2 linked regions of the Bombyx mori genome follow. Each later gene encodes a partner of the first gene's protein in a complex. Links are inferred from orthologs where the notes say so. Each region holds a gene or a part of one and is shown in the gene's direction. Other genes may lie near its edges.

The links.
Region 2: the proteins of cdc42 homolog (region 1) and protein diaphanous are in contact, whole or in part, in a crystal structure (PDB 3EG5), measured with the Mus musculus proteins. The link is inferred for Bombyx mori from reciprocal best matches to the Homo sapiens genes CDC42 and DIAPH1. Residues at the interface, in NP_033991.1 of Mus musculus: Val36, Phe37, Gln61, Glu62, Asp63, Tyr64, Asp65, Arg66, Leu67, Pro69, Leu70, Pro73, Glu95, Lys96, Pro99, Glu100, His103, His104; in NP_031884.1 of Mus musculus: Met90, Asp93, Met94, Asn95, Leu96, Lys100, Pro103, Leu104, Lys107, Ile111, Met115, Gln118, Tyr119, Thr122, Ser133, Tyr139, Ser158, Arg160, Val161, Ser162, Leu163, Pro167, Val168, Val171, Arg210, Lys213, Ala214, Asn217, Asn218.

The regions. Positions count from the first base shown.
Region 1 is NC_085107.1:13,964,440-13,968,593, reverse strand, and holds the start of cdc42 homolog, read left to right. Parts: upstream 1-1,340; 5' UTR 1,341-1,489; intron 1,490-1,694; exon of another isoform or gene 1,695-1,891; intron 1,892-3,283; exon of another isoform or gene 3,284-3,353; intron 3,354-3,449; coding exon of another isoform or gene 3,450-3,827; intron 3,828-4,154. Other genes in the region: uncharacterized protein LOC134199721, read left to right, coding at 3,450-3,827. UniProt on the Homo sapiens protein: Plasma membrane-associated small GTPase which cycles between an active GTP-bound and an inactive GDP-bound state. In active state binds to a variety of effector proteins to regulate cellular responses. Involved in epithelial cell polarization processes.
Region 2 is NC_085129.1:19,600,741-19,604,258, reverse strand, and holds part of protein diaphanous, read left to right. Parts: intron 1-194; coding exon 195-352; intron 353-872; coding exon 873-952; intron 953-2,187; coding exon of another isoform or gene 2,188-2,282; exon of another isoform or gene 2,283-3,518. UniProt on the Homo sapiens protein: Actin nucleation and elongation factor required for the assembly of F-actin structures, such as actin cables and stress fibers. Binds to the barbed end of the actin filament and slows down actin polymerization and depolymerization.

The DNA.
Region 1 (4,154 bases):
TATTCTTCTTTTATTTTTATTGCCTGCCAGATTTTCAAAAGAGGTGACAAAAATGATTCTTGACATTAAGAAAGTACGTCAAATTTTTTTTAGTCGATTTTATAGTGCGCAATTTATTCTATGAACGATGTAACAGCATTTTATTGCATAATACTAATTGCCAACTACTATTTCACAACGAAAATTGGTATATGATTAAATGAGTATGTGACATAGATTGTACGATTTACCTAATTGTTACAAATATTCAATGTTATTTTTTGTTATGGATTTATTTGCTCCAACAATCATTATCAAACTTCACAGTGAATATCAATAAATTAGTTTCGTTTTTGCACATCCGATTTTTATGTTGGTCTGTAGGCTACTTTTTTCGTACCAATACTTATAGCCTTGAGAAGCTATATTAGCGTTACCCTTGCGTGTAGGTGAGCTCTTGGGGCTCTAATAAGGAAGTTGCTAGCACTGTCCCTAGCAAGAGCAGTGCTTCGCAGAGTCTACCACCGAATTGGAAACACGACCCATTGAGAAGATCCAGCGACGAGCTTAGTGGTCTGTGTCTGTGGGTTAATTTACTCGCCGAGCACGGCGTTGCAAGCGATGGGTTCAGTGGGAACGGTGACTGGTGCTTAAGGTACCTAAAAGAACCGTTTGTATCGGGAGGATCCGTAATTACGTGTTTAGGGCAAGGAGGCTTCGTTAATCACTTAACTACTACTACTACTGAGCTGGCGCTATGACCCCGAAGTGGGTCTCGGCCTCCGACAATAAACTTTGCCATTCATCCCGGCGCTGCGCAACATCTTGCCAGTCCGACACTTGGAGCTCCCGTAAATTTCCTTCCACAGCGTCATCATCACTTAACCCGTCTATTTAATTTAAAGTATAGATAAATATTTGATATTACTTAAATTACGCAATGATTACATCAAATTACTAAAGCATTTATTTCAGTAAGTATTTAAAGGATAGCTACTTTCTGATAACTACAGGTGAGAATTTTCGTTGTCCTATACTTTGTAGAGCTCAAATGATTGACCCTCCAAAACTTTACTTATATCAGTGTTAATTAAGTACACTCTGATTCTTATTGAATCATATCAACGGCCTCGGATCATGGAACACGTACCTACTTAAATAATTATGTACGCCTTCCATTTATGTGTAGTATATGATTATAATAGTTTTAAAGAAGCATATGTTTTAGATTTAAAACAAATATTGAAATTAACTCAGCAATTCGTTTAAAATAAATATTTTATTTCCATTTTGTTAATATTTTTTTACTAAAGGTACGATAAAATCGATTCTCTGACTGTTGACATTCGGACCATAGACAAATTTCTAGGCATTTACTGCTCTATTCAATCAATGGCGTCACACCGTCAATGACCCAACCCGCTACTTGGAGACTGTAACATTCAACATTTCCTATTTACAACGTGGTGTTATTGTATTCATTTGAAATATTTATTATCTTCGTAATTAGGTAAGTGTGTAATGAAATGAAATTGATTACAAATAAGGTAAAAACACCATATTAGTGGTTGTTGTCGAGCACAACACAAAATGGACGTCAAAATTATTGTGACGTGATTATGTAAAAAAAAGCAAAAATACTTCAAATATTTCTAGAAAGTTATCGTTTTTTTTAACACTATACCTATCGCTTTAATTTCATTCTCCGTAGCCATTGAATACTTATACTCAAATAGTACCACGGGACTGAAAGGTAACAGGAACTCGGAGGCACTTGTCTTGCGGACGACAAACACACCCTGTTGGCTGTTATCGGTCGCTCGGCTACAATACTATCTCAGGAAATAGTTCTTTGTTTTGTGCTCGAAATGTTCTTTAAAAGCAGTTTTCTTTTAATTCGACCCTTTTAAAGGTCAATGCCCTTTGAATGTGTTCCTATTTTGTAGTGTGCTTGGCATTTCATTTGCTATGCGACGTATGAGACCCTGATTATCGCCGAGTCGGAATGCAGTTTGTGTAATGCACTTAAAGCTAATTAGTATGGGTGTCGATCGCTTTTGTTTTTAACTATTAACATTTTTAAATATATTTTTTTCCTCCTAAATAACTGTATTTTTGTTGGGCTTCTAATAACAATTCGTGAATTAGTTGAAGATTTGGAAAAAGTCAGTAATAACATTCAGGTCAAGGACTGCTAGATTTAAAATAAAAAATGGTAAATTATTTAAATCAATTGTTGATTTCAACTTAACAGTTGTAGAATTGACTGTATTCTACCCAAGGAGCTTATTTCAGTTGTCAATTAAAAAGATTTCTTAATGCAATAATGAATTAAGAGTGACTGGATATTAGAATGCAGCTTAGGAGGATAATGGTATCTTTACAATGATTAAAAATAGTTTTAACTTCTCATAATATTAAACTATGAACCAGTGTATCCCAATACATGGAATAAACAACATTACTCATCTTCATTTTCTCATGATTTATTCTCCTCAATTTTTTTATATTAAAACCTTTATAAGGTATATTTAAAGTTATATTTAAAGGCTTAACATATTACCAGGTTACTGTTTAGCTATACATATATTCAGTCGTACTATTATATTCAATAAAGTAAAAGTAAGACAAATATTTTATTTTACTGTTATCACCAAAACAACAGTAATACTTGCCTAAGCGAAATTTCTCAATGTGGATCATAAAATAACTTAACACAGTGAAATCATTAGTTGAATCAAAATGTTCATAATACCATTAATAGTAATCACAATGTATAGATATTTTTACCCATTTTGAAAGATAATATTTGAAACTGCTACATTTTAAATCAGATAATGTTAATGTCTAGGTAGTTGTAGGATGAATGGTGATAACAGGGAGTATGAGCTCCAAGCTGTATCATTGGCATAATCATAAACCATGTGTATATTAATTTTTATTAATACAAAATATGTAGAAGTTGACTTGACATTTAGTTCAACTTTGAATAACAGTATACGACCTTCATATCGCTGGATCTATTAATTTAATTTTGAATAATCTATTTTATCATTCTTAGTTAATAATGTGTGGGTGTGGGTATTTATTAGAAACATTGCATCACATGCTTAATAGTAATATTTTATTTTAATTCTGTTAAAAAGAAAATTATAAACTAAGCAAGTTTGTCTGTAACATGATTTTGTTTACAATACAATTTCTACAGTGGAATTTATGCTCGCAATCATAAAAAGAGTATGTAGGTATGTAGTAATAATATATGTATAAGGCTTGCAACTAAGTTCTCGCTGTTTCTCAATAGATGGCTGCAGCAGTAAGTGCTGGTCGATTTTGATAGATCAAATATATTGTGAACCAAGCTTAGACAGATGGTAAATAAAAGAAACATTAAATTTATTGAAAATTATGTTGTTACATATACTTTTGGTTGTGTGAAACTGTCTGATTTTATAACAAATAAGTATCATATGCGGGAAGTGTTTCTTTTCTTCTTTCATTTGAAAAATACGCTGGATGAAGCTCTTCGAGAACTACAAAAAGTTTATGGCAATGCTGCTTTAAGCGAAACTATATGCTGTGATTGGTTCAGTCAGTTCATAGACAGTGGTTTCGATATTGATGACTGTCAAAGTAAAGGAAAGCTAAATTCAACGAAGTCGCTGTCTTCAAATTTGTATCTGATTGAATCAGTGGCTGATGCAAAATCCGCTAGCCTCAGCATAAGCAGTTGCTCACAAAGTCATTTACAAGTTATCACATCTATTGAAAGTATTTCAAAAGCAAGGAGCCTGGATTCCTTATTAGTTAAAGTCAAAATGTTACAAAAAGAAGAGTTATATTCATAGCATTAGCCTGCACAGTTCGGCTGTATACTCAGACTGTGACGATTGTGCTGTGTACTTGGTGGGACCAGGTCAGGAGTATTTATTTTGAGCAGTTGAAACCAAATTGAAACGACCCATAGGGAATGACACCAAACTCAATTAATGTGATATAGCGCTGCACAAAATATGGACATAATATGACATGATATAGTGATTCCCCTGTATGACATCATTAGGCCTCACCTTGCCAAATCCATTTAAACTTACTTTGAAACACTCAAATGGGGTGTCTTACTCTGCCACTGTATACCCCAGATATTCCACCATCCGATTTATATTTATAATTTA
Region 2 (3,518 bases), on another chromosome or scaffold:
AGCACCACTACAGGCAAAACTATCCTGCATATCGAGAAGCATTAATGCGTTTCGATTCAAAGGCTGCAGCAGCCGTTGTACTGTAAATTGGAACTTGGGTCTCTAAGCGGCTGTGTTTACGTTGTATATGTCCATGGGCTCCGCGAGCCCCTCTAATGATTTAAGCACTAACATGTCTCGTTGTCGTTGTACAGCACGCGCACCAGGAGAACGTGTTGGCGCGCGAGGGGGAGGCGCGGGCGCGCAGGGCGAGGGAGGCGCGCGCGGCGGCCGAGCAGGAGCGGCGCGACCGGCAGCACCGCTACAAGCAGTTCGTGGACATGGAGCAGGCGCAGGACGGGGTCATGGACAGGTAACCGCCCGCCCCAACGCCCCTGCACTCACCCCCCCCCCCGCTCCGGCTGAGGGCTAGAAGAAGGGCTAAAGGATAAGACGTCCGGTGCATTCGTATGTAGCGATGCACCGGTGTTCGAATCCCGCAGGCGGGTACCAATTTTTCTAATGAAATACGTACTTAACAATTGTTCACGATTGACTTCCACGAAGAAGGAATAACATCGTGTAATAAAAATCGAACCCGTTGTCGATGTCTATGGACATCAGTGATCAATCTTTGTAGTAAAGGTAATACTCGTACTAGCTTCCGACATCCGTATCTATCTGAATTCCAAGAACAATGGATTTTGTTAACGCGCCAAACGAGTATCGTCACCAGTATATAGTTTTATTTATTTATGAAATCAACAGTACAATCCAAACATTGAATATTCATTATTACACATATTATTATGTACATCAACTTACACTATAAAACTAAGTAATACTCATCAATCATCAATCAATCAATCAATAATGAATTACTTCTCTTACAGTCTGATGGAGGCGCTGCAAAGCGGATCCGCCTTCAGCAGAGAGAGGCCTAGGAAGAAGGCCAACCCCCGCGTCGCTGGCGGTCAGTACTCATCGACCCTAACATTTACTTCTTTACTGGTGGTAGGACCTCTTGTGAGTCCGCCCGGGTAGGTTACATCACCCTGCCTGTTTCTGCCGTGAAGCAGTAACGCGTTTCGGTTTCAAGGGTGGGGCAGCCGTTGTAACTATACCTGAGACCTTAGAACTTATATCTCAAGGTGGGTGGCCGCATTTACATTGTAGACATTTATGAGCTTCGGTAACCACTTAACGCTAGGTGTGCCGCGAGCTCGTTCACCCATCTAAGCAATAAAAATAATAATTACGAAACGTTTAAAAAAAATCCCAAATGTGGGTAGTTAACAAAAAACTCAACTTATTTGGGTGAATCAACTATGACGTAATAAGTCATGTAGGAACAACTCGTCGTGTGCCGATGATAATAATATAAACTTCCATTAACATTGGCGTGGTCAATTAAAGATCCAAATTTATCCCATTCAATATTGTCGCAATGATCCATTATGTATTTTAATTTAGAAAAAAAAACAGTTATAACCCTCAGTTTTTAAATTCGTAGATAAAATCGACATAAATAAAAATATATATCTATATCATACATTCTTATGATAACGCGGTGATCTTATAACGCGATTTTATATATTCGTGTAATACGCACGCCTCCCCAGTATAACGCGGGGATTTCCCGTATATTTTGTATGTATTCATGTCTATATATGACTTTCAGAAATTCTCATGATAACGCGGTGATCTTATAACGCGATTTCATATACTTCGTGTACTATGCGCATTTCCCCCGTACAACGCGGGGGATATTTTGTATGTATTTATATTGTTCTTATATTGATTTAAATAAGACGCAAATGTTCAATATTCAATTTGATATTCTTAGGAGCGCGTTATACATTAATAATCGTATAACGCGGTAACAACACACCGTGTAATAGATGGGGGAAGGGGCGTGTATTTATGACAGATTTAAACTCGGAATACAGTCATCGCATATTAGTTTTAAAATATTATCACGGCACTTTCCATTTAGAGCCTTAACGTCTAGTTCACAAGTTTCATATTCGTTTGTCGCTTTCACGCACTCATAGAGGATCTGAACGATTTCACGGATGAGGAGGGACTTGTCCGTGCTATACTTCAGCGTATCGAAGGTAGGTTTTTAGTTGCAGTCATCATCACTCTTAACAAGATTCTTCGCATCGTATTGTCGCACGATTTTGAACCTTATCCCTGTGGTATTAGAGACGGCCAGAGCGTTGAGCTGCGGTCGCAGGCTCATCGGCCGACACAAGGACAGCGCACCGCAAATCGAGACATACAGACAAGTTATAAGCTAATTTTCATGTACAGGGTGTGGTAAAAATGAAAATTATATATTTATATATATATATATAAAGTAGATTATTGGCATTCCACAGAAACAGAATAAGCTTTATCAATCAAAACGTTGTCTGTGTCATTAACAGTAACAATATATTCCCAATATGTGTATAAGTTGACGGGTGCAAGGCTATAACTATACTTGAGACCTTAGAACTTATATCTGAAGGTGGGTGGCGCATTTACGTTGTACATGTCTATGGGCTCCAGTAACCGCTTAAGACCAGGTGGGCTGTGAGCTCGTGCACCCATCTAAGCAATAAAAAATATATATATTTGGTTTAAGTGACATTTTTGCGATTTTACAGTAGAGCCATTTAAAATTTAAAATTTGATAAAAACATCGTAAACACAAAAACTTCTTCAGCTATTTGAATGGAATAAACATAATTGAAGTTCAATTATATACATCATACTGTTGATGCTGATACCAAATAAAACGCACCTTTAATTATAAAGATAAATGTCGCGTGTTAAGCGAAATGTCGCTTAACTAAATAGCTTTTCACTCCTCGAAGTGTAAATTCTTCTAATCTTAATATAATTTTCATTTTGCAACACCCTGTATAGTTAGTTGTTCGAGAAAACTTTGCTTCAATTTTCTGTGAAAGTACAAAAAAAATCAACTAGTGTATTGAGACCGTTATCGAAGCGTCAAGAATAATGGAGGTGACAATAAAATATGCAATATTAAATTATTGAAAATATAATTTTCTAAAATTAATTGATCGATTCAGCTAGGTGAAAATTCTTAGATGTTTGGTCACAGAAATTAGGATAATGTTTTATCTATAACTGAATTAAGGTATTAATCAAATTCTTGTCAACTTTCAACTGTAATGTTTTGGTTGTTATAAAAAAAAAAAATTAAAATTGAAGCAAAGCTTGGTCGTTGTTAACTAATTCGGTGTAGTGATTTTTTAGAGCTTTCGTTCGAGCTTTCGATGTTGTTAAGTATAACTAACGCTATATCGTTTGGGTGAATCGATCGCGTTTAATCGAAGCTACTGTTTAACCCTTTGACTGTCGTGTAGGTCACCGGTGTCCTACGCGGCGCACTGAAGTAATCACGTCGATTTCTGTTACTAAGGCGCCTGGATTGCCTAACGTTGTCTTCATTTTTTGTTAATGTTTTCATTGTTTACTGGTGGTAGGACCTCTTGTGAGTCCGCACGGGTAGGTCCTGCCTATTT